Linked DNA regions of Medicago truncatula. The protein of the gene in region 1 interacts with the protein of each later gene in a pairwise test. Links are inferred from orthologs where the notes say so. Each region holds a gene or a part of one and is shown on either strand. Other genes may lie near its edges. The genes, in order: transcription factor AS1 and protein ASYMMETRIC LEAVES 2.

Region 1 (16,417 bases):
ATAAATTTTCAATAAAAAAACGGTTTAGAATGAAAAAATTACCCGAATGATTCGATCTCGGGGTCTGAGAGGTTGAGATTCAGAGGGAGAATCGATTTCCATATTCTCAGCCATGAAAGAACGTAAAAAGCGAAACAAGGAGCGAGGATGAAAACCAGAACCTTCACTCCCCAGGTTTGATTCTGAGGAATGGAATTCTTCGCTTCAATTCCGTGAAGTGAAGAAGAATTTAGCGAGAAATTGAAAACCCTAATTGGATTTCCGAAAAATCCCCAAATTGTGTGTGAATCGCGTTAATCGAATACGAGACTAAACCACTATTGTTAATATGAAATTGATTAAGATGGTGATGATGATGCTTCTTATATATTTTTATACGATGCTATTCAACTACTACACTCAATTCTCGTACACTATAAATTCAATAGAGTAATGTTATTTGAAAATCGATTTCAATGACAACTTATAAGAAAAGTATCGATTTCAATGATAACTTACGAGAAAACCATAATTTACAAAGATAATGAAGTGTTTGCACAAAAAACATAGCAATAGAGAAAGGTAAAAATGTGACTGAATGAATATGAAAGAGAAAGTTATCAAAAAGTTATACAATTATCATTTATTATTTCATGGATGTTTTAGTATTTTTTTTTTTTTTTTAAATACATGGGCTTATGGGCTAGGAAAAAGAAAAACTACACAATGACAAAGTTTGGAGAATTGATCTTCTCACTTTTGATTTTGTTTAATTCAACGTGAGTTAACTCACACTCGACGTTTTTCAATACGAGTTAACTCAAGTTGGCACTTGTATGATCGATACAACCGTCTTAAAAAGTGATTAAATTGATTTTAAAAGTGTCAGTGTGTGTGTTAACTTACGCTAAATTAAGGGGATGAGCAAAATCAAAAGTGAGAAGGGCAATTTTCCAAAGTTTGATGTTGTCTGTGAGCTTAACTCAGTTAATCAATCCAACATAATATATGTAGGGATGAGGGTTTGTCCTTGTTGGTTTAAATGAAAACGACGTTACAAAAACGGCCAAAGCTCTTACAAGACAAAGAGAAGGCAAAGAGGAAGTAGTGAATCATTCTAAAAGAAACAAAGAAATTCTGAGTATTGTTCAACGAAATTATCCTTTTGTGGCAAAGATTCAAACGTAAAGAAAACTTGTGATGCACTGGCAAATCTCTTCAACAACGACTCTATTCAATTCTTATATAAAATGACCCTAAACATTTGAAGAATATAGAGAATCACACGCTTTCAAATTGTGCTAAAACTCTGTTCAAATTTCAAGCCCACATAAATACTTTTAAAAATTCTTACAAACTTTCAATCTTAGAATTTCTCAAGTGTTTAAAAATCACTCTAATCTTAATTTAGTTTACCACTCTTTGAGTCTGAAGTGTAAACATCAATCAAATTATTTTTAAACTTTGATTATAAAAGTTATCAAAGTGAGGAAGAAAATCTTAGGCTTGTGTTTGTGTGTCTAAGTAATTATAATCTTATTTGATTATGGTGAAAAAGTCTTTCTTGTGTGAAGGGACCGGAAGTTATTCCGAATTTTGGGGTAAACCAGGATAAATATTTATGTATATCTCTTATCTCTTTCTATGTTTATCTTTTGCACCCTCTAATTAGTTTTAAACTTATAAATGATTTCAGAAGGAAAAAAATCTAACACAATCGTACAAAATCAAAGGATCACATGAATCACACCTAAGAAAATGTAAGGCATCACACAAGTATTTAACCCACGCTAAGAATGGCATATTTTCACTTTCCAGTTCATTGGTGATCTCTTAGTTCTTCGCACAAGACTCCTCCTAGAAGCACATTGATCGAGCGAGTTATAAACAACAACAATTAAATTAACATGGAGCTCCACCAACATGAACTCTCTAGGAGGAACCCACGACGAACCTTGCAACACACACCACAAAACTTCGCAATGTAGGCACCACAACTCCACCAAAAACTTAGAGAATCCACATAATCGTTCACCATCTAAACCATGAATCATAGTCGTTCACCAAGCAAATAGTCAAATGCCCATACAAAATCAAGGAATCGGCTGAATCAAATCATACCTAAGAGAAGATAAAGTATCAACACAAGTATTCAACTCAAAGTAAGAATGACACAATTTCACTTCGCAATTCATTGCAATCTCCTAATTCTCTGCACAAGACTCCACCTAGCAACAGTACCACCACATTAGTTGATAAAGTTATAAACAATGATTGTTGAATCCATATGGAGCTCAACCACCTCTATCCGTTATCACGAGCCAACGACAAATCTTGAACCACGCCTTATAACTTTGCAATGTAGGCACTAAGAAAATGTGAGTTTCTAACCGCTAAACTATTTAAAAAATTAAAAAAACATCACTTTGCATGCATTCAGGAAACTATTTCAAAAAGGGAGTCCTCTCTACAAATGGTAATTATGCTACTTTTTTTACGGTAAGTAATATGTTGGGAATTAACGTGAACTCGCATGTGCAACACAACTTTTTTGAAAGGATGTGCAACACAACTATAAGGACGAAAAGAAGACTATTTTTATATGGTCTTCTCACATATCTTTTTTAAAATATCTTTTTCTCATGTTATATAATTCAAACTCTTTTATAGAAATTTTTGGATTATATAATCCGAAAACTTGTTTTATCCATCCATAATTTTAGAATAGTGGTGTCATATATTCTTAATATGACATAATTGAAAATGACAAAAAAAAAAATGTAAAGAGACAAATATGATACAAATGTTTATTTGATTAATTGATCAATATTTGCTATTACATTTACATTACCATAATGCTTATTACAAGAAATTGTTAGACACTTAAAATTAATCTCTAATGGAAGAAGATGAAGGGGGAAGGAGACTATGATAAAGTTTTTTTCCTCTCACATCCTAGAAAGGGAGACGAAGAGAGTTAAAGCTAAATATGATGGAAGAATGAGACTCTAATGAACAATCTTACACCTAAAGTCCTAGACAGAACAAACTTATATTGAGAAGATGATAATTTACAAAGCGAGACCTTGCCCTTTGACTATTCATATTATCCCTATATAAAAATAAAGAAACCTTGTATTAAGCCATATTTATGGTGAGAGGGGTAAAAAAAGTGTTGCTGACCAAGTTGAGTATACCCCTCTCACCACAAATATTGCTTCAGTGAGAAATAAAATTTCTCCCCCATTGTTTTCAATGGTGCCATAATCATGTTTTGCTTCCAGTCTTTCTCCCTCCGACCAAGTTGAGTATGACTTATAAACAGTGTACCCAACTATCTCATTTGGTCATAACTCAATATGTAGTGAGGTGGTATTTTTGGTAGAACACTATGCTAAGAGGTTTCTTTTATTTTTTTCTCAATTTGCAAAAGGTGGATATAATATAAGGTCTTGCTGATTGATCTTATCAAACACTCATAAGGTATACGATGCAGTTCAAAAAAATTACTCACACATACACAATGTGTACTTATTTGACAAGTGCACTTCTTCAATTATGAAATATAGTGCATAAAAACCATATACCAGTACTACAACAGTACACATCTTCCTCATCATAAAGTTTATTATTACAAAAGTGACCCAAAAATAAAAAAAAAACCATTAGATAAACCCCTAATGCAAATGCAAAGTCCTCAAGTTGTATGAAAAGATAGGATATTAATATGCATCTATAAGAACATTTTTTAATCAAATAGGAACAAAGAACAAAAACTAACAAGGACCATAAAACTGCATAAAACTCAATCACACAAAACCTTAACTAGATCAAAATGCTGAAAGTGATGTCTGTCTCTCTTTCTATCTATCTTCCATTTGATTCAGCATGCCTTGATCTACACCCTACTTGTTCTAGAAACTTGGTAAGGCGTAAATGCTTCGCAGCCCATTGTTCAGTCAATTTCTGCTCTTTGGTTTCAGCATCTCTTCTCAGCCCTGCTAACTGTTCCCTATATTCTCCTTCAATTCTATCCAAAGCAACAGCTTGTTCCTCCCTTAAAGCTTTTATCTTCGCTTCGATTTCCTCCATCTTCTCCCTCCTTCGACTCGCTTTCTCTGACTCCAACTGCAGCTCCACTCGGCTTAACCTCCATGCCGCCTCTTTCTTGTGCGCTGCCAATGCATGATGCACTTCTTCCAACTCCTTGCAGCAATCAACCAATTCAGACATTACCATGCTTTCGCCGTAACTTAGAACAGCGCCATGTGGAGCTACGTTCCCAAGAACAAGAGGAGCGTTGTCCGGTCCTCGTACTGGTTGCATCCACGGAGGAGGCGCTGCTACTGTCGAGGGAGATAGGCTTAGTGTCACTGATGGTGAATTTGGCCTAACAGGTGCTGCATTATTTGAATTCGATAGCCATGAAGGAAGCAATCCCGGAGTTGGTGCTTGTGCATCGGTATGAAGATAAGAGCTATTGGAAGCAGCCATGACAAATGAAGGAGATGGTCTCTCTTTCACTAGTTTCTCAGCAAAACTTTCGAGTATGTGTTCGTACTTGCTATCGTTAATCGGGTCGACAGTTCTGTTAATACTACCTTTTGTTTCTCTTTGTTGTTTCTCTTTGAATACTTCCCACCACTTCCCTAACCTCTTAGCAGTTCGACCGGGAACTTGCGCGGCAATTTTCTTCCATTTGTTTCCGTGTGTTGCTTGAAGGCTAATGACTAGACGCTGTTCTTCTTCGGTGAGAGATCCTTTCTTAATACCTGGCTTGAGGTAATTCTTCCACCTTTCTAAACACGATTTTGCGTCCCTGTTAAGAGGCGTGTTCATGCGCTGAGACACGAGGTTCCATTCTCTAGGTCCATACTGTTTAACATAAGCGCGTAATAATGCATCCTCTTCTGCTCTCCACCGCTGCCTATCTTTCATATCCGACATCCGGTTTCTTGAAACTTGCAATCTTCATAATGTCTCTGGAAAATTCATGACAATTCAAGGGATCAATTCACTGTGAAACAAAGTAGTATCAATCAAAAGGTGGAAATGTGAAGTTTCTATAATTTCTAATCATAGGTCCACAATTAAACAAAAGAAGATTAATTAATCCAATCAGAAATGTCAACAAACTTCATCAATTTATTAAGCAAAATAACACAACAGATATAATTCTACATGCTACAAAATGCATACAAAACATTTATGAAGAATCTCAAGGATCAATCAATACCCTTTGACTTCAAAGCATTAAAATTTCTCAGTTCAAGTACTAGTAATGACATCAATTCTTTCTATCAGTGATTAAATGCAAAAATATTTGACCACAGATTAATGTATGAAGTCAATATGTCAAATTGAAATCACATAATCTAAAATAAATTCTGGTAATTATCAATTCTGTTTCACAATTTTGACTAGACATAGAAAATTTTAATCAAAATTTGTGGCCTCTACACTAATATAGGAAACACAGTAGTTACAATTGCAAATAGTAATAATTTCTTTAAATAGAAAATTTTGTAAGAGCTTTAAAAGCTGTTGTAACATCCTAATCAAGAACAATGAATGAAAACCCCACCAAAGGTAGAAAAGGCCAAAAACAAAAAAATTGAGGAACAGTCTCACAGTGTTTTAAACAGCATTTCAAGACAAATTCTTAAATTGAAATTTTAGTTAGATATTTTTGTTGAATAATTGAAGTTTTAGATTAGCATCCACATAAGTAATAACTAATAACCACTTAACCACTCATATCAGTCAAAAAACAGAACTAAACAGGGATTCAGAGAGTGTGAAGCACATCAATTAAACACAGACACAAAGATATAATGGTTGAATTTTAATACTTTGATTATGGTAATTTTAAAAAAAAATACATGTGTTCAAAATCAATTAACATATCTAAATTCAGGAAAACTCAAACAATTTGAAGTAACATAAAAATAAAAACACAAAAACTGAAACATGAAACACAATAAGTATACAATATAAAAGCATATATATACTACTAACACATGAGCTTCAAGCTGAAAAGAGTTTAGCTTCCAAGAAAATAAGTTCACATGAACTTTATATAAATGTAACAAAATAACAAGACAATGATTTCAGAAACAAGACATGTTGAACAAAAGAAGAACATAAGAACAAGAAACTTTGCACCAAAAAATATACAAAAAAATCATGATATATTTAGAAAAAAGAAATAACAACCTTTGTTGTGTTGAAAGCAAAGTAAAAAAGAAAAGTGGTTAAAAAGAGAAGAATGAGAGGAGAGAATGGAGAGAAGTACCTCAGTCACAGTGTGAGTATGTCTAATAACAACCTAAGAAATTCAGGTCCATGAAACAGGAAGAAGAAGTTGAAAAATGGGGTGTTCTTGAAAAAAGAGAGGAAGTGAAAACCGAGGTGCAGTGTAATGCAGGAACTTTACCTTATCAATATCATGGTGTAGTAGTAGTAGAGAGAGAGAGAGAGGTTAAGGACCAGAGAGAGAGAGAAAAGTTTGAAAAGACAAGACATGTAGAGAGAGACCCCACAATAAGAGAAAAGAGAGAGATAATACAAAGAGAGGTACGTCAGATTCAGCGCCTATTATGCGAGAAAGAGAGAAAGGTTAGGGCACGCGAGTGATAAGGGACACACATGATCACTTACAGTCTATAGATACATACATGCTGTTACCCATTCATTATATATTTCACTCTTTGTTTATACACAAATCACATTTTTAATTCAAATTGTGATTTCAACTATTCTCATTAGTTTATCGAATTATCTATCTTCGGTCGTTTAGCTATATAACTAAATGTAAAATCTAATTAGTAATGAGGGTATTAGTAATGAGGGTAGTTTGTGTCTCTAAATTAATTGTAATAGGTTGAACTATTTTGTTAGGTCTAATAAGAGATATGTCATTAACATTGTTTAGCTATTTAAATGTTATGTTACCGGTCAATCGAGTATACGATGAGAAATAAACCTAAACCTAAAATTTAGACGGTCATGAGTGTAGTTCATGTCTCATCATGCTTTATCAACGATTGTGTCTCGAATCCTAAAAGATATGTGGTTCGTGATCATTTATATATTGAATATGTAAAATATGTTATAATTTGTATTTATGAGTATTGGCTAAATTGTTAAGATCTCATTAACAAAGAGAGAAGAATTACAATTCTTCAAGTCTCTTTTTTAGTGTAATATTTGTTTGCTTTTGAACACAAGAAGTTGCAAACATATTTCCCAAATTGATCAAAATCTCTTCATATACTCTTCTTTTCCAATTGATCACCCTTTTGGAAATAATTTAGTTTTGCATTGCAAAACTTGATTTTGAGGTAACCGATTATGTGAAATTGATTTTGTCTAAAAGCTAGTCGAAGGTAAAATGATTTATTTATTAGTTTTTTTTTTTTTTATAGTCAAAAGTTTAATGTGTATCATTCGTTCATGATGATAATATCTTGAATATATGTTGGGTTATCGATCAAGAGATAGAAACTAGCAATTGATAGATGGGCAGGATGGATCCATGTATTAGAGTATGTAGGCTTGTGCCTGTACTAAATTTTGAGAATTTTTTTATTAGGTGGTAGAAATAGAGTAATATATATAGTTATAATTGAAATGTTGACTAAATGGCCCACATAAATTATAAGTCGTTTGGAGAAAAAAGTTGTCTTAAATTATAACTCGATTTACAATAACAATGAAACATTAAATGCTTTTTTTCTTAGTGTACCTTCAATTGTTTTCTCTTATTTCAATTCTTTCATTTATCTTTCGTATAATGAAGGATAATTTTATAAAATGACTTATAATTTCTCTCTCGTACAATATTAATTAGATTTCTTGATTTGTATGAAATGATCAAAATACCATATAATTTGAGACGATTTAGTAAAAAAAATTATTACTATTTATAAAAATATACACTTGGTAACATTCTCTATAATCTAAGAATACTATGTAAACTTTAGACATTTTTTTTAAGGAAAACTTTAGACATATTTAAAAGTCTTGTATGTAAAATACTACAATATTGTATTCCAAAAACTTATGAGACGAGGGCTGAATTTTTTAGATGAAACTAATTTAATAATAATAATTTTTTTGGTAAAAGAATATAGTAAATCATAATATTTTGATAAAATTGTTGCCGCGGTCGTTTATATTTTTTTCCCACATTTGATCCATTAAATTCTAAAATGCTAACATGTTATCCTTTAGTCTTTAGAGTACACCACGTAGAGTTAGAGTACACCATTTGCTTACGTCTCTCGTGAAATTTGAGAGTAAGCGTTAGTGTGCTATTTTAGGACCAACCGTATGAATATGTCACTAAAAAAAGGAAAAGAATTACAAATATAGTATTTACATCTTATCTCATTATTAATTAAATAATATCGAATGTATTGATAATCAAAAGATCTATATATATATCTGTTACATAACAATTTCATTAAGTAGTTCCTTCAAAAAAAAATTCATTAAGTAGTTGCTTAATTCTCATATATATATACAAATTTTTAGAGCATAAACACTCACGTCCCAAATACAAGTGCACCCTCCAAAACAAGTACTTAACTACATCTCACAACACTAGAGTATAAGACAAAAGCAAAAGTCAAATACAAATTTAAAGAGTTTCGGACCGGTGCATCTTGTAATGAAGAACTAGTCTTGATCTTCTTCTTCCTTTACAATACTAAGCAATGTGTGACTTCTTCAATATGTATATTTTCAACCAACACCAACAATCTCTACCTTGATTGAAAATGATACACGTGTTTCCATCGTCGTCGATAATCATAGTTCAAAGAACTATCATACTCCACGTAGAGATTATAGTTACTTGAAGCTAAATCACTCCAAAAAAATTACATTGACTTCATTGCGAGAGTACACTTCGCTTGTAGTTAAACCACTTCAAGAATTTTCACATATCGAAAATGAGGTTGAAAACTTAAGGAGCAACTTCCATGTTGACAGGAAGCTCTTCAACCATCAACATAATATCATAACACACTTTGCATCAATGTCAATCAACACTTATATACTAATCATCACCTTGCGTATTTCCGATTATATCAAAACATGAGGAATGCTAGAAACACTCATTTTTCAACACTCTCTCTAGCACTCACTCTTTTATTGGATGAAATCAATGTATGGCCCACCACTTTGTGTGGGTTCAATTTTCAAAGTGTAGACCCGCAATGATTTAAACCAATAAACGAGTGAGTATTAGAGAGGGTGTTCAAAAGAGAGTGTTGTTAGCATTACTCATCAAAACGTCATTGATTTGAAAATTCCACGAGGCAAAAATGGATCTTCATCAATTTCCTATAGATTAAACTTCACAGCAGAAATTGTTATTGAATCACTTTCACAATACAACCTTTCTTTTACGATGTGGATAATAAGACAATGCTACCACCTTAGAACATACTAAAATTTTATATTCTTAGACCCACAATTATATCCTAGTTGTGAGCTTCTCGGCTCTCGTACCTGTCGTCCAATCCATTAGCGTCCAACCCTTACGAAGAGAGCCTTGGGGCATCCACTTAAACCCTAGGCATGGAGCCTTAAAACTTTATCAACTTAAGCGATTTTAACCTTAGACTGAAGCGCATTCACTCATAGGACGACCATCATGTACTTTTACTCAAGTGACCAAAGAAGCTCTCCAAAAGTTTTGATGTCAGTATTTGGAAAAAACCGACATAGAGAAAATAAAAGAACATAATAGAAACACAAAAGTATAATGTGAAAACTCCTAAAACAGATGAAAAACCACGACTATTGTCCAATGACAACTAGAGAATAACACTATATGCAAATTTTTACAATGTATATACTATTTTCAAACACTCAGACTCACGACTCTAGTACACCCCCACCATCCAAATCAAATATTTAACTATATCTGATAATCATAAATTTATAAAAAAAAAAAATGTAGATATTAACACGGAAACTAAAATAATAAAGAGAGAAAGTAAAAACATAAAGTATAAAAGAGAAAGTAATCATAAAAACTGTAATAAAATAATTGTATAAATATTATTTCTCTTCTCGTATCCTATTATTTGGAAGTATCCCAAGCTTTGGGGGGAGGGCAACATGATGAAAGCTTTGTGTGTTGCATGTGACTATATATATGACTTTTGAATATATAATGTGAGGTTCCTTAAAAAAATAAATATATAATGTGAGGTCTTGTGAGTACATTCATCTTGATAGAGATTCAACTCCACACTATGGTGTAAGCTGTTGCCCAAATTTGTAAAGTGTAACATGTGCTTTGCTACTTTTTGTTGGGGAGTCTACTTAAAATTAAGACCATCCCTAATGGTTTTTACCATTCAACACCATTCAACACCACTTTTTCAATTTCCAACACTCCACATCATTTTCTCTCTCTTATTCAACACTCATTCAACTTTTACCCTCTCCAATGGTTTTCATTCAACACTCTACCCCACCACTTTTTATTTCTTATTCTTATTTAATTTTTGTTTTTATAATTACATAAAATTATCGATTATAATTAAATTAAAATAATACAATTAACTATTTATTTTTTAGTATTTTTGAAAAAAAAAATTTGTAAAATAATTTATTTTTATTTTCTTAATTTAAAATGCAAGTACAACAAACTAAGCACGCGGCACACAAATAACTTAAAATGCAATACAACAAACTAAGCATACAACACACAAGTAATTTATTTAGTACGATACAAATCATCTTCAATCACGAAACATTCCAAACTTTGTCCATATGTGTTTCACTAGATCTGCTTGCAATTCGTGATGAACATCTGGATCACGCAACTCGGATCTAGCACGCACATGATTTGCAAAAGTTGGTAACACCTCGGTCAAGTATGGTTGCGATGTACTAGATCCACTTCCCCCAGGTTGCTCAAAATCGGTCCAATGTTGAGCATATGTATCTTGTTCATCCTCAACAATCATATTATGTAATATGATGCATGACCTCATGATGATACCCAAATCGGCTATGTCCCACAAGCGAGCTGGTTCACGGATGATTTTAAATCGAGCTTGAAACACTCCAAAAGCACGTTCGATGTCTTTCCGACATCCCTCTTGATGTTTTGCAAATAAATTATCGGGTTCACTTTGAGGAAGTCTGATTGACTTGACGAAAGTTGGATACGAAGGGTAGATACCATCAGTTAGATAGTATGTCATATTATAGGGACGTTGATTCACAAAGTAATTCACCCTCGGAGCCTTTCCCTGTTCCACATCATCAAACACTGGTGACCAGTCTAGAACGTTTATATCGTTCAACGTTCCCGGACATCCAAAAAAGGCATGCCAGATCCATAGATCATGAGATGCAACTGCTTCCAGAATAACTGTGGTGGTTCCCTTATCCCCCCTGGTAAATTGACCTTCCCATGCTTTAGGAAAATTTTTCCACTCCCAGTGCATGCAGTCAATACTGCCGATCATCCTTGGGAACCCCCGCATTTCACTAACATGTAGTATTATTTGCAGGTCATCTTGGGTTGGTGCTCGCAAATACACTTCCTCATAGAGTCGTATGATTCCTTTGCAGAATCTAAGTAAGCATTCCAATGTTGTACTACTTCCTATTTTGATGTATTCATCGACCGCATCTGCTGCCACACCATATGCTAACATTCGCATTGTTGTGGTACATTTTGTTAACGGTGATATACCTTCTTTATTGGCTGCATCAATTCGTTGGGTGAAGTAGTTATCACTACTTGAAAGGTCTCCAACGATTCGAAGGAAAACATATTTTTGCATCCGGTGCCGACGACGAAACATTGCATCGTCGTATGTAGGCTCATTGGCAAAGTAGTCGTCAATTAGTCTTTGGTTTGCCGCTGCATGATCTCTATTGAAATATTTTCTAGTACGAGATGCACTACCTTCCTCTAGTTTTTTTCGACGCTGAATAAATCGGTTGACGATATAAGTGTCTTCAACATCACGTTTTTGGAAGTAGGCTTCGATATCAAAAGGGTCCATTGATAGTTTTTTTGGAATTAGATATGAATGAGATTTGTGAAATTGGAAGTAGATATGAGTCCCTATATATAAGCACATTGTGTGGTGGACATTGACGGATTCGAAATAAGTTATTGTAGGTGAAATAATGGCCACATAGTGTGCATAATTATTAAAGCAAATAGTACGTGAAATAATGGGCACATAGTGCGCATGATTATTAAAGCAAATAGTAGGTGAAATAAGTCACGAGGGACTAGACAACACTAGGGACTATCACTGAGGACTAGACAACACTGACAATTATTAAAGTAAACATTGGGAGCTAGACAACACTGACAATTTTGACCGAATACAAACAAATATTTCAAAACAGCTCACGCTCCAAGTTTTCCAACAGCTCTTTTTTCCGGTCATCAAGATGCTCTTCAGAACTTAACTTTAGATACATTTTCATTTTCTCCTGTTGCACCTTGGTGTACTCTTTCAAATGTTCAATCTCTTGCTCCTTGATTTCTTTGAATTGAACCCACTCCTTTTCCACCTCCTCCAAGCCAGCAGCGTCCTTACTTTTCTTTTTACCTTTTTTTTTAGCTGCCTCCCTACCCATTGGACGAGCACTAGATCCTACAGAGTCCTCGTGAGATCTCTTAGATCCACTACTTCTTGACCCAACATTTCCTCCCATCTGACTACCATAACGTGGTTGATCACGGAGAGCGTGCCATTCTTCATTTAAAGTAAATTGAATATTCTTCCCACATGCAAATAATTCCTGCGCTTTTGTCAAAACATCATCTTCCGACCAACTGCTTCCTTGCAAACGCTTAGCGCTTTCATAAGCACCAATCCATTTATTTATTATTTTGCTCATATAATTAAAACGGTTTCGGCATGCAACTAGATCGCGGGGAGAATCGAATGAGCAATACTCAGCAATTTTACCCCAATATGTTTCTCCTCTCTGGTTTCTCCCGACAACACTGCTTGTTCCATATTTAATCCATGCACTAATTAGAACCAAATTTTGTTGAGTGTTCCATGCTGGTTCCTTACTTCTCTTGCTCTTAGGAGTTGAATCTTCTGGAGTGACTTCATTAGCAACTGCCATGCCACCAGGAGTTATTTGTGTTGAAAATTCAGGATATTGAGTTGCACCAACACTAGGAAAATTTTCATTCTCCATTGGCATATAACCATTAAACGGGGGTGTTTGAGATGGATATCTCATCATAGATCCATAATATGGATGAAAGTTTGGAACATAGGATGACTTGTTGAAATTTGGTGGAAAACCAAAATTAGGTACGTTTTGATGTATGTTTTGAGGACGTTGGTTGAAAAATTGATTTGGATTTGGATAATTGTTGGGATTTTCGTAGTTATATGGATAATTAGAAAAATTTTGGGTGTTGAAATGGTTATTATTGGGATCCATTTCACAAAAAATAAGATTAAAACTTCACTTAGTTTGCTAATAGAAAGATAATAATAAGATGAAGATAGTGAAAAACTTGGTTTTTTTTTTTTTCTGTGTCCAAATCAAATGATCCAAGTCTTTATTTATAGATGAAAAAAAATCATGAATTTTGGTATTTTTTATTTTTTTAAAATTAATTTACAACAAAATAATTGAGGTACAATTATTAAAATGATAAGAATCTGGACAACCAATTAAAACGCGCCACGTGTCCTTATCTATCCAAAAACCGTTTCTCTCTCCGAACCTCTGACCGCTCACGCGCCCTATCGGCACGTGTGTTGCACGCGCCCGTTTTTGACCAATTTTGAAGCACCACGTGGCAGGATTAAATGGAGTCGAATGGATTCATCTTCTCTCTCTTCTATTCCCCCATTCAACACTTGTTAAACACATCATTGGAGACAAAAATGCTGTTGAATGGAATATTAAATAGACCATTGGAGATGGTCTAAGAGGAATGTTATTTGAAGAGCTCTTTTTTGGGACAATTTTTTGGACAACTAAAATTTACAAATAAATTTAGATAGTGACATTAAAACCAAAACAATATAAAGAGAAAGTAAAAAGAGAATGCGAGTTTGAGAGAGAAAGTTATCACAAAAGTTGTCAAAAATCAGTTGTTCAAATATCATTTCTCTAAAATTAAATTGTGTTCCATTTGAGTTATAGGATGGGATGGCTCGTAGCCCAGCATCCAAAAATTTATTATAATTTTTTTTTTTTTTTGATATTTTATAGAAATCTAAAGTTTTAATGAACAATCAATCATTTATAGATACTTGCGTTGATATTTTCAACAACAATAATAATACATTTACACCGGGGCATAATTCATAGCCTTCTTTAAAAAAATTTGTATAATTCATAGCCTCTACTTTATATATCAAACAAATTTTTAATAAAAGATTTAAATTTAAATTTTATTTATTTATCTAAAAAATGATTTAATCATAACAATTCTAATATTACACTTCTAAATCCATTTGGTTCAATCCTTAAAGACAATTGTACCCAACAAAATCCTTAAGAAAATTAGTTTTCATTTAGTTGAAATTTTGTGAAGTTTCCCAATATACGAGTATGATTATCTAATCTAAGTTTATAAAATGTTATTGTGTTTTCATTTTTAACCTCGTGTTCTTTTTTGTGTGTTAATTATCCAGTTTTTAAGAGAAAATGTCTAATGAAATCAATGTATGTTTAGTTCCATTTCTAGAATACCAAAATTGATTCTAGAGGTGTAAAATTAATTATGACATGTTTGATTATTGTCGAGTAGAATTGATTATGTCCTCAAAATTGATTTTACTTTAAGCTATGATTTGTAACTTTTGATTCTAAAATTGATTTTCACATGCATATTTATAGTTTAATTCACTTTTACATTCATGTATCCAAACACAAATCTTTTTTTAGTCTTATCATATCAGAAGAGTTTTTAAAATTCTACTAACATTCAAGATATCTTTTTCAAAATGTCGTTTAATGTCGTGAAGAAGGTGGTTAGAATTCAAAGGGAATTCCTTTGGGGTGGTTTAGAGGGAGGGAGGAAGATTAGTTGGGTTAGTTGGAAGGTGGTGTGTCCACCGAAAGAGGTGGGTGGCCTTGGTGTTAGGGATGTTTCTTTGGTGAATTTGAGTCTTCTTGCAAAGTGGAAATGGCGGTTATTGCAAGGGGGTAATACGCTTTGGAAGGAGATTCTTGTGGAAAGATATGGTTCTAAGGTTGGCGAGTTTTTGGAGGAAGGGGTGGGTGTGTGGCAGACCAATGCTTCTAGGTGGTGGAAGGATTTGGTGTCCTTAGCTAAAGGTAATGAGGTAGATTGGTTTTATGAGGACGTGATTAGGAAGGTGGGTAATGGTGCTACAACGGGTTTTTGGAAAACGGCGTGGAGAGGAGGTGAACCTTTTATGATGAAATTACATAGATTATTTTCAATTGCAACATTCCAAGAAGCAACGATTCAAGAGATGTGGATTTCCAATGTGGGCAGAGGGAGATGGAGGTTTAGTTGGAGGTGTCAACTTTTCGTTTGGGAAGTTAATCTTCTTGATGAGTTGTTGGGGGTGTTGGAGGGTTTTGAGTTGGGAGAGGTGGAGGATAAATGGCGGTGGAAGTTGGAGAAAGATGACATCTTCACGGTGAAATCTATTAATATCAAGTTGGAGGGGAGAGGGTTGGCGGAGGTGGTGTGTCCGGAGGGTGAGAGGAGAGTGTTTAGACAAATTTGGAAGACCGGGGCATCGTCTAAGGTGAGGGATTTTGTTTGGAAGGCTCTTCTTGATTGGATTCCGACGCGTGTTAATTTTGGAATCCGGAATTGTTTACCTCCCGGTGTTGGAAGTAATTGTGTTCATTGTATGGATTTTTCCGAGTCTACCTCACATCTTTTCCTTCATTGTGATTTGGCCCGGAATGTTTGGTTGAGTTTGATGTCTTGTTTGGATTTGAATTTTATAATGCCTCCGAACCTTTTTATCCATTGGAAGTGTTGGAGTGGGGGTCCTTTTATTAAGAAAGTTCGGAACGGGTTACGAATGATTTGGGAGGCCGGGATTTGGGTGATTTGGAAGGCTAGAAATGACCGAATTTTTAATAATGTTATTGCTAGATGGGATGTGCTAGTGGAGGAGGTAAAAGTGTTGTCGTGGAGATGGTTGCTTGGAAGATCAAATTCTACGGTATGCTTGTTTTATGAGTGGAGTTGGGGTCCTCGAGAATGCCTTTTGAGGTAAGGTTGTGGCTGTCCTATGGTTGTTGTTTGTGGTTGACTGTTGGGGACCAGTGGTTTCGGTTTTGGCTTGCTGTCATGACAGAACAACAGCTGTTGGTGCTGTTTCTGTCGGCTGTGCAGCGGTTTTTTGGTTCGGTTTGGGCTATGATAGGTGTTGCAGGTTTGGGGCATCTGCTTGGGGTTGTTCAGAGGGTAATG
Region 2 (15,933 bases), on another chromosome or scaffold:
TTACCAATCAAGTATTCAAATCGTGCCTGTTGAGGCATTTTATGGTAGGCGATGTAGGTCTTCTATAGGATGGTTTGAAGTTGGAGAAGCTAAGGTAGTGGGTCTATAGTTACTTCAAGATTCCATTGATAAAGTTAAGTGGATCTGAGTTCGTTTAGAGCCTATTTAGAGTAGGCAAAGATCTTATTCTGACAAGAGGCGTCGTCCCATAGAGTTCACTAAGGGCGAATATGTATTCTTACATGTTTCAACAATGAAGGGTGTTTTGTGGTTTGGAGAAAGAGGAAAGCTAAGTCCAAGGTTCATTGGGTTGTTTGAGCTTTTGGAGAGAGTCAGACATGTAGCTTATCGATTAGCACTTCCACCGGATATCTCAGGAATTCATCTGGTCTTTCATATTTCTATGCTTTGAAAATACCTTTATGACCCTTCTCATATAATTAGTCACGAAGATGTGCAATTGGATGAGAGTTTGTCATCCACTGAACATCTGGTTGCTATTGTAGATAAGGAAGTGAGATGTTACACTCAAAAGATATTGTTTTAGTGAAGGTTCTTTGGAAAGGTCTATCCGGTGAAGAAACTACTTGAGAATCTAAAGAAGTAATGCGTGGAAAAACCCCCACTTATTTGAAAATCAAGGTTAGTAGTGTTTATGATTTAAATAAAATTCGAGGATGAATTTTCTTAAGGGTCCGTTTGGTTGGAGATTTTTGAAGGGGATGGAAGGAGGGGGGATGGAATACTTCTAATTAAATTTGTTTGGTTCAATTTTTCAAAAAAAAAAAAAAAGAGGGGATGGAAATGGAAGGGAGGACAGGAAATGGAATATTTTTTGCTTGCCCTTAAATTGGAGTTTTTCAAATGAGAGGAGTGTCTAAAAAGTAATATATCCCATTGACAAAATTATCCTCAATTTATTTTTTTGTCAAAATCCTAAATTATCCTTTTTAAACATGAAAAACATATTTATACTTTTACCTTAACAACTTATTATTTTTAAGATTAATACTATTATTATGTGTTTAACATCATTTTTTTCCTTTAACATCAAATCTTTTTTTGTTTAACCTTAAAAAAGTTTCTTTGCATAACATCATTTTGATTTAGTCAAAACATTTTTTTCCTTGACATTAAACTTTTTTCTTTGGTTAACAAAAACATCAATTCTTTTTTTTTTTTTTTTAAAAAGTATTAATTTTTTTTCACGTCAAATGTCTTATGTTAAAAAAAAAAAACATCATTTTGCTTAATTTTTTCACATCAAATTCTTGTTTTATCCTTTCTTTTGTTAACTTATTTTATTTTATAATATTAATATATAATAGTAGTATATGAGTTATATATTTTGTAAAATTTAATTTTATAAATATTTTATGGTATTAGATGGATTATTAAGATCGGAAATTGTTATCGATAGAGTTTGATCTGTGTTGAAGTGTTGTACCATGATTATATGCAATTATTTAAAACATGAATGTTATAAAATTTTAAGAATAAAAATGTAAATTATGTTTAAAATCCTTTCCATCCCTTATGAACCAAACACATATTTAATTAAAATACCTTCTATTCCATCCCCTCCCATCTTCTAAACCAAATACATATTTAATTAAAATCTCTTCACTCCCCATCCCTCCCTTCTCCTCCCCTCCATTAAACTCTCTCCCTTCCCCTTCTTTGAACCAAACGGACCCTAAGGAGGGAAAAGTGAAACACACCGTTTTATTAATTAAAAAAAAGTAAAAGAAACAATATTATATAATTAAACATAACACAATCACTACAACACTTCTCTCATTCTTTTCTTTCCCTGTAACCTCTCTCTAGCGGTGGGCATGGTTCGGTAAACCATATTAACCGAACCGAAGTGTTAAAATGGTTCGGAATAACTGAACCGAACCATTTAAGGTTTGAAACTAACCGAACTGAACCAAAGTTATGGTTCGGTCAACCGTTTGCTTGGTCATTAACCGAACCGAACCAAAGTCATAAGAGATGTTCTAAAATATGAAATTAATCCTATGAGATAACACAAGTTCATGCTAATATAGATTTTTCTTATATTCTATCATTCCCCCTGAATATAAAGATATTGAGTCAATGTTTATAGCAGCAGAAATCATAACAAAATAGAAATTTGTAGTGTTGCTGGCATCACAGCTTTGAACCAAACAGAAATGATAAACTAGCAGTTGAGATCTCTGGATACAACTGTGGTGCGCGGTGCAGTCAAACAACACCAAAGAATCACTTGAAAGCAGTGCAATAGGCGAACCTAGAACCAGCATGGTCAAACCAGAAAAACGGAATCTCGGTGGAACATAATCAATCAAACATGAACCAAACTAGCACACTAGACACGAGAAACAACTCAAACAGCATTGGAATCACATGAACAACATAGAAAACCAGACTAGAACAAATTAAAAGAAGACTCAAACAGAAACCAAGGCAAAAATACAGAACCGTAATTGTGTTATATGGTTATGGTTTGGTTTGGTTTGGTTTGGATAACTGTGGTTATTAATGGTTCGGTTTGGTTAATTAACTATTAAGAAAATAATGGTTCAGTTCAAAAATTTATGAAATGGTTCAGTTAATTTTGATATAGTTCGGTTCGATTAACTGATTCGATTCGGTTATTGGTTAATTTTGCCCACCCCTACCTCTCTCTGTTCCACCTACCTTTCCCCTTCTTCATTTAACCTTCTTTTCGTAAATCAACCAATTTCAATCACAAATCGAACACTCATACTAAAAATTAGGCTTAATTACACTTTTGGTCCTTGCATTTTGACCAACTCACGAAATTGGTCCTACCTCTTTTAAATCGAACAAAATCGTCCCTAAACTATATGTTTTTTGCAGTTTTAGTCCTATCTCCCTATTTCCAACTCCATAAATGACAGTTTTAGTCCAACCAACCATGAAATAAACAAGTAATAAATCATGTGGGTACAAAGAATCTACTTTGTTCAACACACAAACCAAGAAAAATCCTAATTTCTAAGACATGTTTCAGGTATGTAACATGTCTAAAAAATTAGGTTAGTATGCTGAATAAAGTAGATTCCTTGTACCCACATGTTTTATTCTTTGTTTATTTCATGGTTGAGGTGGTTGGACTAAAATTGTCATTTCTGTGCGTTTCTGGAGTTGGAAATAGGGAGATATGACTAGAACTGCAAAAAAAACATATAGTTTAAGGACGATTTTGTTCGATTTAAAAAAGATAGGACCATTTTCATGAGTTGGTCAAAATGGTAGGACCAAAAGTGTAATTAAGCCTAAAAATTATACATCCAAGCAAAGCTCTTTCTTAGTACAAGTGAAATTTGGTCGGATTTTTGGGTTAGGGTTTGTGCTTTGGTGAAGTATATCCTTTTTGTGAAATATGACGTCGGATGGTTTAGAGTATATATCAGAGGATTTCATACTTATCTATTGTTACTAAAGTTCTATAATGCTCAAATATGACGTCGGATGCTTCAAATATTTCTCTAGGAGTGGTTGGAGTGCACAGTTAGTTGAGTCTCATAAGTATGAGTAGATGACAATCTTTATCACATATTTTACATACTGTTATTATTGATATTTTGATAATTTTATATGTTAAAGTATTTTATTGAAGTGGGGAAATACAACCTTGAACATTTCTCCTCATTGGTAAGGTCATCAATATTACAAAATATTTTATTTGGATTGTTTATGATTTATAAAATAAATGATAAAAAAAATTGGCATTTGACTATATGTATTTGACACAAGTTTGATATTTTACCGATCATGATTTTGAACAGTATTTTGAGAAATACAATTATAATTGCGATGACTTAGGTGTACCTAGTATGTCATTACGATCAGGGAGAGTTACCTATTAGATGGATCCACCCCTAAGAAAAGGCCGCCATTAGGAGGAAAGGGATATCAACAAAATGTAAACTCCTAATTGAAAATGTTTTACATTGTATTTTGAGTCGAGAGAAAAAATCTATCTATTAGATAGAGCCACCACCCCTAATTTTTTTATCATTTTTTCCCGTAATTCCATTTTCCTTTAAATGTTATATTTTTCTCATATGTTAATTTGTCTTTTCATCGTGGATAAAACACCAAAACCAAGCATGTCTTGAACTGAGAATTTGTTAAACCATTTAAGCAAGGTTCTCCCATGGTTTAAGACAAGACAACAGTTGGTGAACTAGTGTCTCCCAAAACACTAGAATGTCCAAGTTATGGTATAAAAGGATATCGGTCCCACAAGGACTCTGGAGCTATAACTTCAAATAGCTATTCAGCAGAAAACTTATTTGGAAAAAAATAAAATAAAACATTTGTCACACAGTAAAAGTAAAAAGTTAAGTTTGGCAAAGTAGTTAAAGTCTTTAGAAAATCTCAAAATAGATGGTGTGGCTTAATACAAGGTTCAATCATGATAAAACATTACTCCGATTTACAAAGCTATAAATAAGGTATAGCTGTCTGTGTCGCTCAGAGCTATAGCCGGTTCGAAGCATCTTTAGTCTCTAAGATACACAACACTATATCCTGATATGGCTACTATGTCTCACAAGGCTACATCCGTTTATTAGCTTCTTGCAACTTTGTGATCCATAGAGTTATATCTTTCATAACCAGCTTTATGGCGAACCAAATGGTCTATAGGAACCATTGTGTTAAGCTACAAGAAGTCACCTTATTTAAGGGCGGACCATCACCCTTTTACCCTATCACCAGATAAAGGAACTGTCTCCAATCGCTGCGCAGACACAATAATTAACACGTGCAGTTGGTTTGGTTTAGGATCCTGCCATTTCACCATGAGGTGCGGATATACAAATCCTTTGTCATATGACAAATAGTGAATGTAATACTAAGCTATAGCGTGGTATGCATATGGTGATTCTCAACACTATGGCTATTTGTTAACCTCTTAAGCCAACTGAGATTCACAGAGATATAACTTCCTATAGTGTCAGTTTTACATTCAAGATTCCACTCCCTTTCACTCAATGGTGCTCAAGGGCAAAATAATATCGAATAAACATTTTCCACTCCTTACTTTGTTAAGGTAAGCGAGTTATATCATTTTTTTTTTAAGAAAGCAAGTTATATCATTAGAAGTAAAAGTTGTCAGGAATCACTTATATATCGCAAGTAAATTAATAAATCGCATGACGCTACAACTTTATATATCGCAAGTAAATTAATAAATCATAACTTCACCATGTCTAAATCACTCAAAGGGGTTTAGCTCATGGTGAGATGAACTATGGAAATGGAAATGAAGATGAAGATAAATGAAAGCATAGAAAACTAAATTAATAGAATAGATAGAGTTGTCACAAGATTACACTCTTTGAAGGAATAAGGTGAGTCAAAACGTCACCAAGTAATCTACTCTAAGAACTTTAGAATCTAGCCACCATGCTCATCTATGGTAGAAGATGAGATGGAATGTGATCTCTAAAGTGTTAACCCTAACCATAACCTGGCCTCTCCAAAGTACTAAAAATACTTAAAACTATAAAATCCTAAAATAGACACTGATTAAACTATTACTTAAGTCAATGCAATCACTCAAATACTTGTCCAATATGGGGGCTAAGTGCAATGTGATAACCAACTTATTTTCCAGTTATCAATGACATTGTGGTGTCAATGTCACGTAACATTGGATAACCACAATGTGACAAGTGGTTTTCTTCTTTATCTTATATATGAATTTTTTGTTTTTTATTTTATTTTTTAAAATAAGGAAAATGTTACATAGACACCCTTTATTTCCATACACTTTTGTACATCCTATATTCTAGGAAGAGAGAAGAGGAGAGGAAAGAGAAAATGTGCTTGTGCAGGGTCCACGTGACCACATGTCAGATTTTTATGTGGATGTCCAGGGATGTATTGCCATCTAAGAGTATCTATGTATCATAACTCTTAAAATAAAGGTGACACGTGACACACTGATTAGTATTTAAAATATGCAATTGATTACATGGGTAATTTTTTCTTTGTGTAACATGGGCTTGTCATTTAAACTATTTAAAATATGTAATCGATTACTTGGCTAATTTTGTCATTTAACTATCATATTCTATTTTTTATCATGCATGTATTAAACACATGATATGATAAATGTTTATCATATCTATATCATATCATGTTTTTATCGAGTTTTATATTCTATTATGTTTTTATCGAATTTTTTCATTTAACTATAACAATAACTCGTTTCAATATTAATTTGATGATATGGTGTACCGGTACACTCGAATTTTTGAGTGTGCCGTAAAATTTGCTTTTTTTTTTTTTTTAAACTCGGCATCCGATCCAAGAATCGACTAATTCGAGGGGACCAATTACACCGCCCACTTGCGGGGGCCCCGTTTAAAGCCAGAGCAAGCTCTGTATGGACTTAGCCCACCGAAATTGGCACCAGAGGGAATCGAACCTGAGACCTCTGGAGGAGCAAAATCCAAGATCCCAAACCAACCACTAGACCAACCCCAAATGGATTTCGTAGAATTTGCCTTATTTCTTACGTAGGGACGATTGGAGATGTTATTTGCACTCAAAGAAAAACACGTAGCCATATTTAACAAAATGAAATAATATCCTGTAAAATTTATATTTGTACTCTAAATTATTTATTATATTATATGCACAAAATTCGAAACCTCACAATTGCAAAAAAAGAAGTATTATATGCACACACTTGTAACGTACACAATATCAAGTCGGCTTACATTTTCACACGGGGAGCGGTTATGGGGCATAAGGAAATCCTTATGCACCGTGCATAAATCCCAACTCATTAACCGATAGCCCAACATAATTGTTTCATACACCCCCAAGCGAAACCAAACGAAACAACACTACAACCGCGGAAATCATCATTTTAGTTCAATAATGATGATTTCAGAATGTTGATTTGGTTCAATAATAGTCACAAATGTTCTTATTATATTATGTTTTGTATAAAATTATGCTAAAACCATTTTGCTGTGAAAATGGTTTATGTGAGTTGTAATCCAAAACCGTTAGATGTATTTAATGGTTTCCAGCAGGTTAAAAAAACTAAGGACCTAGAGTCATTGCCATCATTCAGTTTTGGACTGACACAATTGGAGGAGGAGGAAAGAAATGGTTTCTGTGAGTTGTTCTCCAAAACCTTTAGATGTACTTAGTGGTTTCCAGTAGTTTCTCAGCTATAAACCCCTCCAACATCACAAAGATTTCGAATATAGTAACAACTTCAGATATGAAACCGTGAACACAAACAGTTACGAAACAGTAACATATAGCAATCAACACAACGCCACTGGATCGAAGAAGAAAACACGAGGGAGGAAGAGGAGCGAACCGGCTCAACAACAAGTGAAGCAATGAAAATTTTGTTTGTGTTTTAATCTTTAGATCTACTCCTTCTCGTTGTATTTTTGCACGATCCGAGTTCGGATTTGGCTTTAAAACGAAAATGGATGTTGGAAAATGGCTTTAGTTTTTAAAAAGGGTGAGTTTGGTTCTCCGGCACGGCGCCGCCGCCGCCTCTGGCCAGCAACCACCGCGCGTTAGAATCATCATATGTGGCCGGAAGAGATGAAGACTCATCTGAGTTCTTCGTTTTCTTTTCCAGAATGTTGAAAATTGTAGAGAGAGAGGGAGAGTTTTATATTTTAGTGAGAGAAATATTTGAAGCAAATGAAGTTTGATTTGGTGTAGTTTGAGAAGCCTTGGATTATTAAACGTGTACACTAGATTTGATGGTTGTGAAGTGTTTATGCACGGTGCATAAGGAAAATCCTTATGCACCATAACTTTTGCCTCTCACACGAGGAAGTGTCTTCTGGCATCAAACATTAATCAACTTCATTATTTTCCTTAGACAACGCTGGCTTTCTCATATACATGACTTTCACCATTGTTTTTTGTCTTCAAATTCTCAGCCAGAAACACAAGGACCAAGGATTTTGTCCGAGGATATGAAATTCCAGTTGTAACTGAATCTTTGAAAATTAGTTATATATGCATATTTATTCATTGTTTTTGTCAACTTCCATACTTTCTTCAATCCCATTGCTAGCTCTTTTTTCTCTCTTGGATCTCCCAAATGAATCAATGATCATCATTTTTATTTATTTGTATTGTTATTTTAATGAGATAAGGAGTCTGAGAATTATATATACACTACCAAAGATTTGAAATAACGAAAAAAATTAGAAACCAAAAAATTAAATTAGTCACTAAATTTAAAGACACAATTTATCCTTTTTCGTCTCTTGAACTTTTGTCGTTATTTTAAATTTTTCTAATTTTTCTAGTAATCCGAAGGAAGTCTATAGGTTTCAAATCATATATTATATGATTCTCCGTACTGTTACACGGCGAAAAAATTACATGCTCGGTTAACATACTAAAAATTAACATAACCAAACAATTGAGATATAGTAAATGAACTTCAGCAAGGATGAATCGTTCGTGAGAAAGTGAGTTCGATTCTTATGAAGAACAAAAAAAATGCTTTTTAAAGATACCCTAAATTTCCTCTAGCTCTTTTTTTTTTTTTTGTGTTCCTATCAAAGACAAAAGTGTTAGGTTAAAGTGGATATTCATTCAAGTTCAACGACGAGTAGTAGGCAAATAAACTGAGAGTTAGTATAAATAGAGATCTAATTTTGAGTTTTCTTCGCCACAACGTCTCTTGTCTCTTGATGTATTGGAAACTTGTGTGTCATGATGAGATGGTTTACAATTTTTCAATACAAAAATTGTAATTGACAGGTTTGGAATTTAGTCCTTGTATAAATTGCAATTGTGTGTGAGTTGAGAGAGAGTAAGTTTACAATTTTGTCTGAAAAAATTGTATGGGAGGATTTGCAATTTTCTTCTATAAAAAATTACATGCTGAATAATAAATATTTTGTTGAGATATGGATTTAATAATGAAGTGACAACCACATTCTTGCTAGTTATTTTTGTCTTTTTTACTTCTTTTGTGGTTATTCTTCCCCTTAGTAGAGATTTTTTATTTTCTCAAGAACTTTTAAAGAAGGGTGTTTATATTTTAGTGTCGATGATATAAGCTAGCTAAATATATATTAAAAAAAACACCTGCACAAAGTGTGGTGGTGAAGGGTAAGCAAATTTCGACATAGTTTTTTTAGTCATAAATTGCAAAAGAAAATAATAATAATTTAAAGAAAGGAAAAGAGTGTGTGTGATTTAAAACAATAGATTTACCAAAAAGACCGTAAAATAATGGAATTAGCCATATAACACGCATTAATGGATCAGTTCTTATTTCCTTTTATAATTTTTTATTACCATTATTTTATTATTTTACAACATAGTAATAACAAACAAAAACATGGTGAATGCATCACAGAAATTAATGGTAGTGTGAAAGAGAGAGAGACAGAAAAAAGAGGAACAAGAGAAGGAGAAAAACAAGTGTTTGTTTGTGTGACAAAAACAAACTACCATGGCATCCTCAAATTCACCATGTGCAGCATGCAAGTTTCTACGCCGAAAATGCCAACCAGAATGTGCATTTGCACCTTATTTTCCACCTGATCAGCCACAAAAATTTGCAAATGTTCATAGAATTTTTGGAGCAAGCAATGTTACAAAGCTTCTCAATGATTTACACCCTCACCAACGTGAAGATGCTGTGAATTCACTTGCTTATGAAGCTGAGATGCGACTTCGAGATCCTGTTTATGGTTGTGTTGGTGTAATTTCTCTCCTTCAACACCAACTTCGTCAGCTTCAGATGGATCTTTATTGTGCTAAATCCGAACTTTCTCGTTTTCAAAACTTGAGTATCGCAGCGGCAGCTACTGCCGGTCATGGACTCATAACCGGCATGACAGGTGAGTCTGTCACGGCCGCTGCAGGTAATTACCACCACACGCAAAATACTGCTGGTGGTGGTAATAACAGTAACGGCCGTGACCATCGTTATCATCAACATCATCAGTTTTTTCCAAGGGATCAACATCAACAACATAATTTGGTTAGAAATTTTGATGGTGGAATTGGGAGCAACTATGATGCTAGTCTCTTGGCTATGAATATATCTGCTAGCTTAGGACAGATCAATCAACTTCAACATCATAGTGCTGCTGGTGGTGGTGGTGACGACCGCCGTACTGTTAACCGCTCCTAGCTAGGGTTTCTAATGCTATAGGTAATAATTAATGCTTTTTATTTTTACTTTATAAATTAATGCTCTTTTTATTTAATTTTGTTCTGTCACCTATCATCACTGAATCACATAACTGCATATGAAATATGCAATCATAACATTGGAAGAGACTCTTCAATGCTTTAATTGTATGCCATTCCTCATGTAATACTATACTGCACCTAAACTAATTAATTTAGAAAATATTCTATTATAATTTGTTATGCCTAAAACTATAAAATAGACAGTTTATTTTTTTTGAAGAAGAAAATAGATAGTTAAATCCTTTAAATTATAGTGAATGAGTTTAGTATATGAATGAAACTATGAATATTTAAAATATTTTAATTCAACTATATATATTTGTGTTGTGTGTATATGTATATATAATCAAGAATTTTATTTATAATATATATTTCTTTCTCTTTTTCAAGGAGTTTTGACATTACTAGCTGGAGAGAAGATTTCAACCTTCATTCTTCATTTTTGATGGACACTCAAAGACAAATTTGTTCATCAGTCAAAGCTCGAATCGGTTTTTATTTTTATTTTTTGTTTTATATGATTACAAAATTGTAGACAGAAAAAATATATATATGACGTCTAAATGAAGTTATGAAGTAGCTGACCAATATTTTACTATTGTGATTTTACTATCTCTACAGAGAGAAGAAATAAGTGAAGGGTTCCTCTTCCTCCATGGAAAGATTATCACTATTAGCAAACAGTATATTATCTTCTTTTAATCAATTACGATGGTACATTTTTGGTCAAACATATGGTGTTAATAAGCACTACATGAGAACTGTCACTTTTAGAATTTAATTTTTATGCTCTCGGAGAGTTAATATAGATTTACATGCCCTAAATTACTTTCCATCATTTAGATATTTGTATTGCAATTTAAAAATTTATATATATATACACACACATCTGTTTGGATATTTGTCGTGTATAACAAATATTTCTATTATCGTTGTACAGAAGATAAACTTTAATTTATACTAGATATAAGTTGACGAAAAAAATGTGAATTTTGTTTGATTTCATCCCTATGTGTTAGAGACGCTAATTTAGTGACGAGTATAAATTTATAGCCATATTGATCATGTTAAAATAACAACTTCTTTCCCGTGGTTAAAGGCGTGTCTCACAACCTTTACTTTCCGCGCTATCATGACTGATGGCGGCATCCTTTACCTTGTATGAGTGTTTTATTCTAACTTATATTGTTTCTTTTGTTTTACACTATAAAACATTATTTCTCAACCATACCAATGAGTTATACTCAACAAACCTATGCATAAATATCACAAGATCAATTGCGATGCTATGAACCACATTTTATAACAATATACGATTTAAGCATAATAAATACACCTACAACTGCAATTTAAAACTATGCTTATATATTATGTCTTTTTTCCCTTGTATATGATTATATACCTTTTTCTAGTACACAATTACACGGTTGAACTAATAGAAGCATATGAAAAAAATGATGATTAAACTCTGGCCAAACAACAGAGGTGCATTTATAGCAATTGGTTCAAGTTGCTACTGAGTAAAACTACTCATACACATTGCTACATTATGTTTAATTCTCAATGTCATTCGCATTTATTAGACAGTGCCAACACTATGGACCTGTTTCTTCCTATCTGAACCCCTTTGTTAATTCCATTGGGTATGAAATGAATTCAGTGACTATGACTTGACCAATTCTTTTACTATCCCTCTTCTTGACTATTCCTTGTTTCTATCAATCACTTTTTTTTTTTTTTTTTTGTTATCTTGAAGTTTGGTTTTGCATGCACGCTTTTCTATATTTATTCATGCTTTTATAAGTTTTGAAATGCTATAAATTAAATGAAGAATAAAAGAATAAAAGAATATAGCAATAAGAGAATCCATACCTACTGCATTTCTTTCACCTTTCATCTTTATTACTTCCTTAATTATATGCTGTTTGTCCCCTCTTTCTTTTTTCCTTTTCTTTCGTCCGTTACAACCACTTCAATTGAGAAACCAAAAAGGAAAGGAAGTTTAATTAACTTATAATGTCTATGAGATGTGACAGCTCGACGTTGTTGCTACTTGCAGATCGATAATTAATCTCAATCTCAACTCTAATTTTTGTACGTTTGGTACATTTAATAGAAAGATACTTGGTTCAAATTAAAAAATAAAAGATATCGGATTTTAAGCTAAGAGTTGGAATTTTTTAGCTAGAATTGTGACAGGTGGAATGCACGTGAAAATACACATTGTTTGTATATTTGTATTTGTTTGAAATTATTTGTGTGTATATATAGTAGATGTAGATAAATATATCTTTGAAAAGGTTTATCAGTAATAAAAAAAAATTAAACATGGTGATAAAAACAATTATAAGGTAGCAACAACGTCATGGCCTCTGATTTTATCTCAATTGATAGAAATATTTTATTATATATGTAGAGGTTTGGGTTCAAACCGGAACTCTTCATTTATTCCTCTTTAAAAGGTGAATTTCTAGCAATTAGGTTACTTGACAAAAGACAACGTCATAGATCGATCATCATTTAAACAATTATAAGGAGTTTCCTAAGGTATTGACCTAACCGTCCAAAATACAGACCGATCCAAAATAAAACGTAAGTCGATACAAAAATATCTAAAACCACAAAAAATGAATATTTTTTAATGTGTTTGAATAGTGTTTTGTAAAAACCGCTCATATCGGATCAAATTTTGGATCACATTTTCCAAACCGAACAAACCGCAAAAGTAAATTTTAATACCTATTTATTCTTTTATTAGTATTATATATTCCATTAATATATTATTTGTTGGTATGTAATCTTATATTTTGCATTAATTTCATCTATACTATTACCACTTCATATCTTTCGAACATTTACATTTTGTAATGTTAATATTATAATGTATTTGATGATTTTGAATGAATTTTATTATTTTATCGTGTATGTGTAATATTAATATTAGTTAAAAGAATTAAATGTTGCATTTTGGATATCCAAAAATCGATCTAAATTAAACTGTATATATGTGAATCAGATTAGATCGAATTTTTTAAAATAGTCATCCAAACCGAATTGTATCACATGTGATTTTTATTTTCAATTGGATGACTTTTTGCCTCAAAATCGATCCAACCCGCACCGTGAACAACTCTACGTCCACCTAGGGGTGTGTCTTGTAACACCCCGTTATCCCAACATCTAAATATTAAATAAAATAAATCAGAGTTCAACAATAAACGGGAATGTCACACTACATTTCAAAATTCTTAAATAGAATAAAATGCTATTTATTAAAATCAACTTTGATAGATAAATCAATACTTTGCAGCGGAATATTTTTCAATCACTTAACATTAAATAACCAGCAATAAATTCTGGCACAAAGGCCTCAACATAAATAGTCATCAACAATTTGTTCAACAACAATAAAGGCTCCAACAACATGTTCCAAAATTGATACATAAGGAATGAAAATATAACAACAATTTCCCATCCCGTTACATATCAGAGCCCTAAGACACTTAAGCCACCACTTCTACTACTCTTCATCACCTGCAAGTTACTTATACGATGGGCAACATTTTCAAGCAGAAGGGGTGAGATTCACAAACAACAATAATAGATATATAATCCATCAATTGAATCTAACATCCTAAATAACAACAATACTTCAATATACTTATATATTTCATGATCAACAACATTTGGCAATTTCAACCAATAACAACGACTTATGCAATGACACGACAACACTACTATGACCCAACAACAAAATGTGACAATGCACATGCATGTGGTACCATTTTAACGCGTTTGAATGACAAGGCATTCCAGGGCATGAGCCCTCAACAGTTTGAATGGTTAAAGCATTCACAGGGCATGAGCCCTCAACGGTTTGAATGAGCTAGCATTCACAGGGCATAAGCCCTCAACGATTGAACGACAAGGCGTTCCAAGGCATGAGCCCTCAACAGTTTATGATTATGCAATGAACTCCACTTGTGTATATCAACATACAACTCAACTACAACACAACAACAGCATGAACGACGACAACTGCTACTGAACAATGCATACATATGAATATGACTTACCCTCAACATAGTCAACTAATGATACAACAACCTTTGAAAATGAAATTCAACAACTTGTATAATTTATTTAAATATAAATATACATAACAGCAATCAACAATTCATCATACTTAATTCAACAGCTCCGGTAAAATAACACAATTAATCATAACTATTTGTCCTACACAAAATCCAACCAACAATATTCAAATACATAGAAACGGCTTCAGGTACTGAGCAACTCGCCTCGCGAGTGCATCTGCTCGTTGTGGCGAACTCAAGAAATGAGTTACTCGCTATAGCGAGTACGTGGCGAGCAAGAAAAATGGTGCTCTCGGGAGTTTTGACATTTTTCTCACTAAATCTTCATTTTTAAGCTCCCTAATCATCTTTTTAATCTGAAAATTGTCTCAGTCCTCTCTAAAAACATCCAGGCACTCAAAACTATCCAACTTACATCTTAAAACAACAATTTGAAGATCATGATCTCTCACTCACTTACTCGCTATGGCGAGTGGTCTTGCTCGCGAGGTGAGAGATGAAGATGGCTCACTCGCGAGGCGAGACAAGCTACTTGCGGAGGCGAGCGATGAAGATCTTGTACGGGCAGAATGCAGGTTTTTCCCAAAAATCCCAATTTTCTCAATTTCAATCCCCAAAACAGATTACAGAAGTGTAATAAATTTCTGTCTACGACCTGAACACATTCTAACATTATTACAATAGTTCCTACACTCTTTCAATCCAAAATCAAAGAATTAAAATCTAAACCCAATTCCCAAATTAACCAAAACCCTCATGTTAAATCAAAATCAGAATTATAATCTATATCATTGAGAGTTAACCCCACCCTCACCGCATACAAACATCAACATTTAACATGTATAATGCCAACACAACAAACAATCAACCCACCTTTAATTCATTATACATTAATCACATACACATAATTACAAAACATTCCTAATGTTATCACACTATTAGCTAATGTTATCACACTATTAGGACACAATTCGATAAAGTCCGTCTATTGACCATAACTTTAAAACAATTATAGAAATTCAACAAAACTAGGTAAACATGTTCATTTGTCTCAACAAAACATATGCAATAATCACATTTATGTGCAGTTGCATATTTATATCCGTCTCATTGACCTCAACCATATTGGAGTCCATGTTGCTCGGAGTAGCTTTCCTTTTACCCTTAGGGCCCGTTTGATGGTCAGGATAAGGAGACAGGATATGATACATTAATCATATCCTGCTGAAATCTCATGTTTGATACAACAAATGGATAGGATAAAATAAACCATTTTCCTATCCTATCCCGACTTTCCTTTGTAATTTTTATTCTAAGTATATGCTGGGTTAGAAATTATCCTAATGGATTAAAAGATCGTTCCTTATTTATTATCTTGATATTCTACCATTTATAAAATACTGTCAGTGTTTAAAATAATGATAGCATGTATTTTCTATTATAATTAATCACATGCCATTTCTACAATATTTAATTAATTATGAGTGCAATTTTTCCATTTAATTATAATGATATCTTGTTTGTTATCATGTGCACACCAAACATATGATAGGATTAATGTTTAACATGTTTTTATCATATTTAACATGTTTTTATCATA

What was found.
Region 2: the proteins of transcription factor AS1 (region 1) and protein ASYMMETRIC LEAVES 2 interact in a two-hybrid assay, tested with the Arabidopsis thaliana proteins (4 studies listed by BioGRID, with this or other methods). The link is inferred for Medicago truncatula from reciprocal best matches to the Arabidopsis thaliana genes AS1 and AS2.

The regions. Positions count from the first base shown.
Region 1 is NC_053048.1:28,630,867-28,647,283, forward strand, and holds transcription factor AS1, read right to left. Parts: upstream 6,531-16,417; 5' UTR 6,275-6,530; intron 4,997-6,274; 5' UTR 4,927-4,996; coding exon 3,847-4,926; 3' UTR 3,531-3,846; downstream 1-3,530. Other genes in the region: E3 ubiquitin-protein ligase PRT6, read right to left, coding at 43-114; glutathione S-transferase T3-like, read right to left, coding at 12,370-13,233.
Region 2 is NC_053049.1:15,627,045-15,642,977, forward strand, and holds protein ASYMMETRIC LEAVES 2, read left to right. Parts: upstream 1-9,380; 5' UTR 9,381-9,487; coding exon 9,488-10,174; 3' UTR 10,175-10,195; intron 10,196-10,626; 3' UTR 10,627-10,967; downstream 10,968-15,933. UniProt on the Arabidopsis thaliana protein: Negative regulator of cell proliferation in the adaxial side of leaves. Regulates the formation of a symmetric lamina and the establishment of venation.